Linked DNA regions of Arabidopsis thaliana. The protein of the gene in region 2 interacts with the protein of the main gene of each other region in a pairwise test. Each region holds a gene or a part of one and is shown on either strand. Other genes may lie near its edges.

What was found.
Region 1: the proteins of RACK1B_AT (region 2) and ftsh3 interact in a two-hybrid assay, tested with the Arabidopsis thaliana proteins (one large-scale study listed by BioGRID).
Region 3: the proteins of RACK1B_AT (region 2) and AT5G48650 interact in a two-hybrid assay, tested with the Arabidopsis thaliana proteins (one large-scale study listed by BioGRID).

What each region holds. Positions count from the first base shown.
Region 1 is NC_003071.7:12,491,549-12,495,302, forward strand, and holds the start of ftsh3 (FTSH protease 3), read right to left. Parts: upstream 1,782-3,754; 5' UTR 1,452-1,781; coding exon 1,401-1,451; intron 1,303-1,400; coding exon 1,080-1,302; intron 995-1,079; coding exon 929-994; intron 831-928; coding exon 697-830; intron 588-696; coding exon 108-587; intron 27-107; coding exon 1-26. Other genes in the region: CYP707A2 (cytochrome P450, family 707, subfamily A, polypeptide 2), read right to left, coding at 3,490-3,580. UniProt on the Arabidopsis thaliana protein: Probable ATP-dependent zinc metallopeptidase. Involved in the assembly and/or stability of the complexes I and V of the mitochondrial oxidative phosphorylation system.
Region 2 is NC_003070.9:17,981,446-17,985,199, forward strand, and holds RACK1B_AT (receptor for activated C kinase 1B), read right to left. Parts: upstream 1,933-3,754; 5' UTR 1,824-1,932; coding exon 945-1,823; intron 634-944; coding exon 532-633; 3' UTR 191-531; downstream 1-190. Other genes in the region: PEX3 (peroxin 3), read left to right, coding at 2,506-2,519, 2,700-2,861, 2,952-3,142, 3,216-3,346, 3,454-3,524, 3,629-3,665, 3,731-3,754.
Region 3 is NC_003076.8:19,724,902-19,728,655, reverse strand, and holds the start of AT5G48650 (Nuclear transport factor 2 (NTF2) family protein with RNA binding (RRM-RBD-RNP motifs) domain-containing protein), read right to left. Parts: upstream 1,985-3,754; 5' UTR 1,804-1,984; intron 1,410-1,803; 5' UTR 1,378-1,409; coding exon 1,333-1,377; intron 1,214-1,332; coding exon 1,076-1,213; intron 889-1,075; coding exon 582-888; intron 511-581; coding exon 281-510; intron 172-280; coding exon 1-171. Other genes in the region: AT5G48640 (Cyclin family protein), read left to right, coding at 3,015-3,046, 3,163-3,269, 3,420-3,459, 3,627-3,671.

The DNA.
Region 1 (3,754 bases), on a different chromosome or scaffold from region 2:
CATCCAGCAACATCCTTGAAATAAATCTGGCGAAGAAAACAACAAAAGTAAGTTTATAAATTCCAAACGGATCATTAAAAACAAAGGCAAAACTCTAAGTCTCTAACCTTATTCTTGGAATGTTTATCAGCTCTCGTTATTGTAGCTTTGCCTATATTGAAAATTCCACGACCATTCTTACCGCCAGTTCCTCCTACACCCAATCCACCTTGCATCCGTCTCGCACCATAGATCAGAGTACCCAAGAGCAACAAAGTCGGTGCAAACCTCATGAACTCTTGATACCAGACCATTTCAGAGACGTATGTGACAGGAACATATTCATGACGATCAACACCTAACGCTTCTTGAGCTTCTTCGAGTTTCTCCTCAAAAGAATCAACACTACCGATATTGAAGTAGTACTTATACTGACCACCAGTTCTTTTAGCAGGAATACCGTTACCATTACCATGGACAACGTCAGTTGTTTGTTGGTCTTTCGGTGTGCTCCTCACGTAGACTTTTGCTACTGATTTGTTTGAAACATCTATGTGGTCAACTAAACCAGGCTCGAGTAGCTTGTTTTTGAACTCCTGGAAACTTATCTGAAACAATAAAAGGTAGCATAGGATATTAGTGGAAACTATACGAGCAGAACCACATCTGCAGTTCCATATCCAAGAATATCACAAAGCTTAGTTTAAATATGCTTGCCTGTTGTTGTTCCCCAGAGCCAAACGAGAAAGTAGAAAAGAATACAGCAAGAGCTAGTAGAGGAATTAGCAAATTTTGGAATCGGTTCATGAACATATCTCCCACATTCTCATTTTCATTCTTTTCTGAACCCTCTGTATTGCAACAATAACATATACAATTATTAGAATCCTTCAGTAGCACCAACAGGTCTCATAATAAGAAAAGTATCTTCAAAATCTATGTTGTTCACCTTTATGCTCTGATTTCTGATCACTCTTGGGTTCTTGCTTATCTTTAGGAAAATAGTTCTCATAATCTACACAAAGACAACAACAAGAACACTAATTTATAACCAATTCTCAACACTCATTAAAAATGGTTTAACATTTTTGCAAACATACTCTTCTTCTTAGGAGCTTCATCAGAGAAGAATCTACGAAGTCTTGGATTAGCAAAAACACCAATCAAATCATTATTGACTAAACCCTTCCGTGAAGCTAAAGAAGCAAAGTGTCTTCTTATAAACCCTAATCCACCTTCCACTTCATTCACAGACGCCGCCTCAAGTCCCGGCGAAGTAAGTAGCCTTGCCGCCGATCTAACACCACCACCGTACAAAAATCCCTAATTTCACATATAAACAAAAATCAGGTAAGCAAAAAAAAAAAACAAATTGAGAACGAATCTGAGAAGGAATCAATGAAATGAAAATAACAACTAACCTTTGAACGAGAAATGGAGCGATTAAGCTTAGAGAAGAAGATCATTGTCATACAAAATCACAAAGAACAAAACTAAGTTCGCATAATAGTTTATAAAAATGGTGAAATCGAAGATCTGAAACGAGCTTAGAAGAGGAAAAAATGCAAACTTTTTTATTGTGTTTGTGGAATAAAATCAAACAGAAGAAATGAAAAATCCAAACAAGATAAGAAGAAATTAGGGTTTTTGATTGGGGGAAATAAAAGTTTGGGTTTTTTAATATCTGAAGTTTATCGAGAGAAGAGAAGGTTTATGAAATGTCAAAGACAAAAAGACTCTGTACTTGTTGTGTTCTGTAGATTCTCTTGAACCGGTTTTGTTCTAAATAATGTCCGAATCCAACTTGTGCTTACCGGTCTTATTAAACCAGTGTTTGGTTCATAGGCCTAATTTTACATATATTGGGCCTTGGAGAACATATGGGCATAGCTTTTGTCATAAATTGAAAATAAAAGTGAAGAGGTAGCCGTAGCATATCAGTTTATTTTATTTTCAGTAATGAACCAATATTAACTAAAAAGGACACTAACCATCATCAACGAAATTATCTGCATTGTTGTTAATGAAAGAATTATGGTTCTATCTTTTTTTTTTTTTTTTTGGCTAAAGAAGAATTATGGCTCTTTAAATCATAATTGAGAAACAAATAAATAATCACTAATTTTATCATATATATATATATATATATGATAAAATTATAGACATATATACATAACTTGTTCCTCATAAACAATGTATAGGAACTGATATCAAGCAAAAACTCAATTTGGAAATCATGGCACCTTATACCATCGTATTGTATATTTTTTTGGGTATGAACTATGTCTATTGATCGACATATAAGATGTAGTGTATGTTTTTGAAAGACTCCTCTCATTTACGCCGATTATTACTGACACTAATTTAGTGTATGTTAAAACTTATACATTTCGGGTACTTCACGTATCTAATCCAAAAGGAATATCGATCGTGTTAATCCCCAATCTCCCCTCTTTTCTTTGTACACGTTCTAGTCGCCTCACATCAAATAATAATAATAAACAACAAAGATTGAGAGAGACACTTTCAAGAACAAATCATGTGAAAAACTTTGGGGTAGGGCTTAATTAAAGAGAGACAAGAGGGGACAAATTGGATAAGAAAGGGTTGGAGCATGTTTTGTCCACCAAACCTTTGGAATGGTTAAGAGACTCTTAAGTGGACCAATGCAAAATCATTTTACTCTGAAACGAATCTCTGATTCTCTGACTTTAGACAGAGACAAATCGGGGACAATGAATTAGATTCATTTCAATCTTCTTCGTTTTTATGGAAGTCGAGAGTCCCACGTAAGCTAGTTATAAAGTGTGTTAGATCTCATGCACGTACCCGACTGTGGACACGTGGCGACTCGTTTTATCACGAGACTAAAAATATGTTTTGTCTCCTTTCCACGGCTCAACGATTTATGTACTTCCGTGTTTGTTACATACAACAATATTGATAATGGTGGTCTAATCGAATTATTAGTTTATTTACAACTCTGTATAACTTACTAATACTACCAACTAAAAACTTACAAGTAAATAATTATAATACGTTTTTGCTTCCGTACAAACAATTACGTCTACCTCAGCTCATTATATGTCTGAACGGAATCTCAAACAAATATCCGGAATTATTGCATTGTAGAAAATGATGCCGGAGAAAATGTAAAAGGATAAATCGAACATTTAGGATCCAAGAGGTTAAAAGAGAATATCAAATTCCAAATTTGGCGTTTGCTTCGGATCCAAACACAAACGCAAATATTTCAACGCAACTGTCACAACATGATAGCAATAACAGCTAGTTGGAAATGTAGAGTTCAAAGATATTTCAATAAGTCCAAAGCAATAAAAATGAGATTGATTAAATTGCAGCTTTACATTAAGATAAAAAAAAATTACAAAAGAAAAAGGGGCCAAATTGGAGGCCAATTTTAAAGTTTAAGAAGAAAAAAATCTCTACTAAGAGAAATTAAAGATGACTTATTGGACTAGTAAAAAAAATCCCAAATATGCCTTAGGCTTAAATCGGGGTTACTCTTATTGGTAAACCCTTCTTGGGTACAGGGAAAGGACCATACTGTATACCTTCTTCATCTCCAATCACTTCCCATCTGCAAATTAAAATCCAAACTTCATCAATATTATCATAATAATAATAATAGTAAGATTGAAATATGCAAACAAATTGATATCAAACGAGATTCACATCTTTTGTGTTGGACCATATATAGACTAGTACTAATTTGACAGGTCGCCGATTCATATGTTTGGGTACTACAAATTAT
Region 2 (3,754 bases):
TATTCTATATGGGCTATATTCGGTTCATGTTAACTGAGAATTCGTATAACATATGGCCTTGTCGCCTACACTTTAGACTACTCTTAGTTTTGGTAGAGTAAGAGATGGAAAACCAAATATCATTAAGTACAAAAAGATAAACTGGTTGGTGCATTGGTGTTTAGAGATTCTTTTGAAAGGGTTCGTGTTGTAGTTAAGATGTAACCACTGGAAAAGTAAAGGCTAATAACTCCTTGAAGTTTTCAGATTCCTAAGAAAAAATTCTTGCTGTTATACAGTTAGTCATCAACCTAAAGCCATTTCTACTTTCTAGAGGATACAAGTAACAACTTCAAATCAGATTCTACGCCGTGTACTCAGACTCAGTGTAAGAAAACAAATATGAAACAAAATCAATGTATCAAAATATCACATTTGTGGATTCTGAAAATAGAAAAGAACAAAAAATAAATCCTCAAAACACTAATTCAGAAGAGAAGACTTTAGAGTCGATGGAAAAATTTGGAGAGAATAAAGAAACTTCTTGTCTCTCTAGTAACGACCAATACCCCAAACCCTGATAACTCCATCAGTGTATCCACTGAACAAAGTGTTTCCATCTGCACTCCAGTTCAAGCTTGTGCAGTAGATCACCTGCATTTTACATTCCACATTAGAACATATATAAACCACCTCAGACCAAAGAGTAACCAACAAATCAATATGGAATCACTTCAGACACTACAATCTAAGAAATCAGAGACTAGAGCTAACTTAAAACCAGGTTTCTCAATCTAATGTTAGCTACTCTCTTACGTACCAATCAAATCTTGTGAACTAACTTCACATGAGAGTATTCAGACCTTCCTTTATGAAAATCTCATCTTTTAAGGCAACGGCTAACTAATTCACAGAACTTAGAACTAGACAATTAACCATAAGATAGAGTGAGGAGAAATAGATACCTTGGTCTTGTTTCCGATTCCAGTAGAACCATCAGTCTTTTCAGCCTCAGCCTTAAGATCAACCTTCAAATCCTCAACAACAGACTTACTCTCGAGATCCCAAATCCTAATGCTATTCTCTGTTGCTGCACACAACCAGTACCTATTGGGACTGAAGCAAAGTGAATGAATAATAGAGCCAGCTTCAAGAGAATACAACTTCTTCCCTTCAGCCAAATCCCAAAGCAAGATCACACCATCTTTGCCACCACTGGCACACAACGAACCATCAGGTGACACAGCCACAGTGTTCAAGTAACCAGAGTGACCAGCAAGAGTGTTCCTAAGCTTACAATTCTGAAGATTCCAGACCTTCACAGTTTTATCCCAAGAAGCAGATACAATAGTTGGCACAAGAGTATTAGGACTAAACCTAACACAACTAACCCATTCCTTGTGACCATCAGCTTCAGAGATGGTATACTTACACTCACCAAGCGTGTTCCAAAGCTTAATCGTACGATCACGAGAAGCAGAGACGATCTGACGGTTATCGGTAGAGAAAGCAACAGAGAGAACATCTTTCGTGTGACCAACGAAACGACGAGTAGATTCTCCGGTAGCGAGATCCCAGAGACGAAGCTCACCGTCCCAAGATCCGGAGAGAGCGAATTGTCCATCGGAGGAGAGAACAACGTCTTGAACGAAGTGAGAGTGACCAGTCATCCTCCGCTGAGCAACACCGTATGACTTGTCTTCCTTTGTGAGTTTCCAGAGGATGATTGATTTGTCACGCGACGAAGTTACAATCACGTCGGAGTTATCGACCGGTGTAGCAATGGCGGTGACCATATCAGTGTGGGCACACATTGTGCCTTTCAACACGAGTCCTTCAGCCATGGTTCAGGGTTTGAGGTCGAGATTTAGGGTTTCGGCGACAAAAATGGGAGAGGGCAAAATGGAGGTAACGAGAAACCGAGAGTATTTATAGTTAGAGATAATTAGGGTTCTTTGTTTTCATTTGTCAATAGTTTGGGTCTCTTCATTTGGGCCAGCATTAAGGCCCGGTATTCTACCCAACTTGGTTTCATGTTGGGACAATTATGGAACCGAGATTTATATCTTTCTGTTTGGAACGCTTAACCAGAATTGGTATAGCTTGTTACAAGTCAATTTGATAACCACATGAGTACATGACATGACAACTTTTTTTTCTCTCTTTTGGGCAAACCCCATGAGAACTCTACCGAGAAGTTATTGTCAAAAATTGAAATAGACTCAAAAGTCGGTTCAATTAAAGTAAACAAACCGAGTTTGGCCATTTCAACTTTTATTGTAAGAACTAAGAACACAACTTCGACTGTCCCTGTGGAAGATATAATTTTACATGTCCGAATTCCGGAGAAGAAAAAGATGAAGTGATTGATTAAATTGAAATCGATCACATCAACCATCTCTTTCTCTCGCCTGCAAAGTTATCTCCTTTTCAAACCGAACGAATCAATTCGGGAATCTTCATCTTTCTACGTGTTTTCTCAGCTATGTATCTCTGGGTTCGACTTCAGTAAAAGCTTCACCAGCCATGGATTTCGTTAGGTTCTTGTTCGCTTCATCTTTCTTTGTAATTGCTTACTGTTTTCGTGAAAATTCGAAATTTAGTGTTTTGCGTTCTCTATCTCTCTCTCTCTAGCACACTAATTCCAATTCCTTAGGAAGGGTTTTTGGTGAATAAAGTTAGGGTTTTTAATTGATTCAATACCTTGTGGAATAAATTAGGGGTTTTTGGAGGAAGCATAGAAGGAAGGTCTTGGTGACGGCTGGTTGTTTGGGAAGTGGGTATTTACTCTACAAACTATACAATTCCCATACTCGTAGGCTTGCTGATTTGGAACGAGAACTCGCTCACGAGCGTGAAAATGACGAAATCATCAAAACCCAGTTAAGTTCTGTGCTCATAAAAACTGATCCTTTAGACTTCAGTTCTTATGGATTCTCTAACGGACCTGTCTTGTTTGTACTCTTGTTTAGAATGAAAGCACATTTCGAGAGTATTCAGATGATTGTGGATTCGACCACACTGCCTCACGCAATGCAGTTTTTGAGTATCCGTATCAGCGAGGAGATCGATGTCTCTCATGTTATGGACAGACTGAACCAAGGGAAAGGAATGCTGAGTCCACCTGAGAAACTTCAGCTCTGGGATGAGCTCAAGATTTTGAGTATGCACTGCAGTCACCTACTCTTACTCTATCAAATTCTGTTTCTTACCTGTATATTCATGTTATTTGCCAGGTTTCACGAGGATGGTTTTGTCTCTGTGGTCTGTGACAATGCTTAGCTTATACATTAGGGTTCAAGTCAACATTTTAGGCAGACATTTGTATGTTGACACCGCTCGAGCTCTTGGCAGCTCTCATTTACTTGTAAGATAATATGCTTCCCCTCTTCTCTGTATTGGAGAATTTGCTGTTTATTAAACGATACTGCACATGTTCTTTACTGCTCTCATTTGCTCGCAAGTATGATTCAGTGTACTTTGCTTATCTCATCCCCAACAAGCTATTTCTCGGGGAAACTCACTGGTTGTTCTGTTAAGAACTTGTATAATTATGTCTCTAGTAGCTGTGTTTAATTGCGATAACGATTATGCATTTGACCTATCTGTGGACTAATACTCTGGAATCACCTATCTTTCTTTGATATAGTTCCAGATTACCTTTTAAAGCCACGGCCGCTTGTCCTGTGATCTGCTTGCCCTGTGAGCTTTCAACAGTGTATCTATTAAATTTGTTTCTTTTTGTTTGCAGGAAGAGGTAGATCTCATTGATAGA
Region 3 (3,754 bases), on a different chromosome or scaffold from region 2:
ATCAGATTCTATCACTTGAGAAGGATCTGAAGATGCTTGTTGACCTTGGTCTTTGAGTATCTGGCCTGTAGAAGGATCTGAAGGCGCTTGATGTTCTTGGTCTTTAGGTATCTTCTTTGGAGAAGGTAAAGAGACAGCTGGAACTCCAAATTTATCTTTCGTAACCTTCAACTGTTATGATAGTCATTGATTATCAATAGAAAACTCAAGAAGTGATATAGTAAAGCCTAAAATAAGATGTAACAAGATCGAGTATGAATCCTCTAGGGTGACTACTTACCACAGAGGCATAGGATTTCTTGGGAGCATCTGCAAGTCCATCATCAGGGTCATAATTTTTCTGTGAATCATCTGCAACTTCTTTGCAAGTTATCTCAGTCCTTGCAACTTCATTAGCAATCTCAGGTACCAGAACATTATCCTTAGCATTCTCATTATCCAAGGGTTTGGACACTTCCTTACAAACAGGATTCACTGAAACACATGCAGCTTGCTCCGAACCCTTCATGCCTGTAGGAGCTAAAGTGTAAGAAAAGGATTGGAATAGAATTTGCGTTAGAAGAAATATAAGTTTAACTTACCATTGATAATAGTGGGTGTTGTAGAGTTTATCCCAGAAACAACTTCCCCATCTATGGTCTCTGGAACATTATCCTTAGCATCATCATTAACAAATCTGAGGATGTCATTCAGAACAAAGAAACCCTTTTCTTGCGGGGCAAGGAAAAAAGTTTGGGTGAATTTCCTTCTCGATCTCTCGTTTAGAGTGAAGTATCCAGTAACGAAGAGAAGGAAACCCCCATTGTGAGACTCTTGAGTATCATAACTGGTTATCTCAGCCGAGTTGCAATCTCCATAAGTCAGTCTCTTAAGCTCCTCACTTATACCCTGCACAAAGAATAAGCATCAATGAGAGACACTTTTAGCAAGTTACTTAAACTGCCATCCAATTTCCACCATACCAAATGACACTCCAGCCCAACCCCATGTTAGTTACTAATCCTTAACATCATAAAAATGATATAGTCTCATCCTCATTCAACCAAACCCAACTAAACTACTAAGAACTACTTACTTGAAAAGTGGAGAAATCACGCATGACTCCGTCCTGTCCAACACGGCCAACTCTACTGATCTCTTGATAAAACCGGGGCAGATGCTCAGGCATGTTACAGAAAATGTAGTAGTACTGATTGACAAACGCACTCCCAACCTATATTAACCAAACCCAAAAATACACTTTAACAACAACAAAAACAGAACAAACCACACAAAGAATCACAATTACAACTAGTAAAAAGGAGAAGAAACCCCATAATTGAAAAAACATACAGTAAGTGGGTCAACAACACGTTTGGTTGCAGCAGTAGAATCCATTGTATCGCCAACTTCCAGAGAATAAACAACACCTGTAATTCATAGAAGACTGTCAAAACTCAGAATCAATGTAAATCACAGAACAACCCAAGAATCATGTAAAAAACAGAAAATCTCTAAATCTCACACACAACTTTCCAAAATCGTTTCCGTAGAAAACGTAATTCATGAACTACACATAGTGACTCGATAAACACTTAACAAGCAAGAAAACGAACTAAGAGGCAACAACAAAATCAACTTCACAAAAGCAACCCAAAATCGTTTCATGAAATAAACACAGAAACAACTTCGAGAAAAGCACAAACTAGCTAAGAAACCAACGAAATCTACTTCACATTTCACTCCGAAACAGTGTAGATCACATTTTTCCGGCGAAATCGTGACATTAAACTGACGGAAGAGAAATAGTAGAAGAAGATTCACCTGAAATTAGTGAAATTGGAGCTTCGATTGAAGTCTGGGACCAACAATGGCGGGACCTAGGGTTTGATCGCTAGAAGGAAGGCCAAGTGTACGGAGAAAGCGAAAAGGCAACGGAAGAGGACTTTGTGGGGACTGTGAAGAAGATGTTTATATAGACGGGGAGAGAGTGTGTGTGTTGACGACTTTTTTATTGCCTTTTTGACTCTCACGTGTCAAACATGGTCCGTTGCACTTCCTCACCTTTCTTCAACAGATTTTATTCTCCACTAACTTTAATATTACTTACCTTTTATTAATGAGTACATTAGATTTTAACTTGGGTTAGCACATAATCCCAAAGAATTCTATAAGGTGAATTAGAGAATAATAACTCCTCTTGAATTGTTTTGATAGCGAAAAACCGGAATTAAATTTAGACACGGGATAATCGATACTCTTCTCGTGCGTTTTTTAGATTGTAGTCAACTTATTTGGCTTATTCCTTTGTCATGCGGTTTTTCTCGTGCGTTTTTAGATTGTAGTTTACCTATTTGGCTTGTACCAAATATTGAACGTGAGAAACATGTAGGGTGTTAATTTGAGTATGTATTAGTCTAAGTTTAGTTTGAATTTAGTATGTTTAAAGAAAAAAAGTTAGTTTTGATAAAGGAGTATGGGCTCAATAAAACAAATGAACATGTATATTAGGCAAACGAAAAATGTGTGGTGTTCTTCTGAAAATTCTTTTATGAACACCCAAACTTATGGTTAGAAGAAAATCACTGATCAAGCGTTTGAACAATACATGATACAAAAACTTGTGAGAGAAAAATATTCGGTGTGGCTGATGATATAAAGCTAGAATTTTTATAGCCTTAATCATGACGAAAAAAACCAAACTCAAATTTAATCCTTTTGAAACTGATTATACCTCGTCGAAATGATATATTCGGTCACTTCTTAGCTATTTATAAGATTTCAATTTTTATCATCTATATGTTCTGTTATTCAAAAAACAACGAACATGTTATATCAGAGTTAATACTTTCATTTGTTTGCCTATTGGGCCGATAATGGGCCGAGCCTTAAATTTAATTTCAGAAAAAAGCAACGATATGATAGATCATGAGACCACCAACCAAAGAGATTTGACAGATAACAGAAAAATGTTGAACTTATGAGCTAAAAAAGCTTCTCCTCCTTACCAAAGACTCGACGGTCTACCGGAAAAAATGGCTGCCAATTTCTGGAATTCATCTCACTAGTAAATGTTCTTTAAAACTTTACCCATCAAAATTCACTTCTTCTTCTCCTTCTAAGCAACTTCTAATTTCAATTTCTCGAATTTTTTTGTTTTGTTTTTGCGTTTGTACGAAACAGTAAACAGCTTTTGGATCCAGAAGAAGTCGACGTAGTTCATGATCTCGATAAAGAACGTGGAATCTCAATTGATGATTTTAAGCTCATCAAGTTCCATATGTCTAATCGTACGAAATCCTTTTTCTTCTTAATTCTTCGAATTCTCCTGCTTACTTAAGCAAATTTGTTGTCTCTGTTGCACTGGTTTGATTAGAGATTGATCAGAGAAGTTTTTTGAGTTTATGTCTCTTTGTTTCTTCATTTATTGTTGTTTTCAGATATTATGAAATTGGCTCAGCACATTAAAGTGAGGCAAAGGTTGGTTCTTTACAATTTGGGGGTCCAATTTTTGCTATATCAAAGAGATTCTACTGTTGCAGTACTTCCATTACTTTGTTTTGCTTCTGTAGATTTAACTAGCTCTAATATCTGGTGTAACCTGGACTTGTATATGAATCGTCGCCTTGGTTTTTCTACTTATGTAGGGTTGTAGCTACTGCAATTACGTATATGAGACGGGTTTATATCAGGTATGCAATGTATTTTTGATATGATCGTATACATCAATGTGCATCTTTGTGTATGTGAGGAATGAAATGAGTTAAATTCTTGT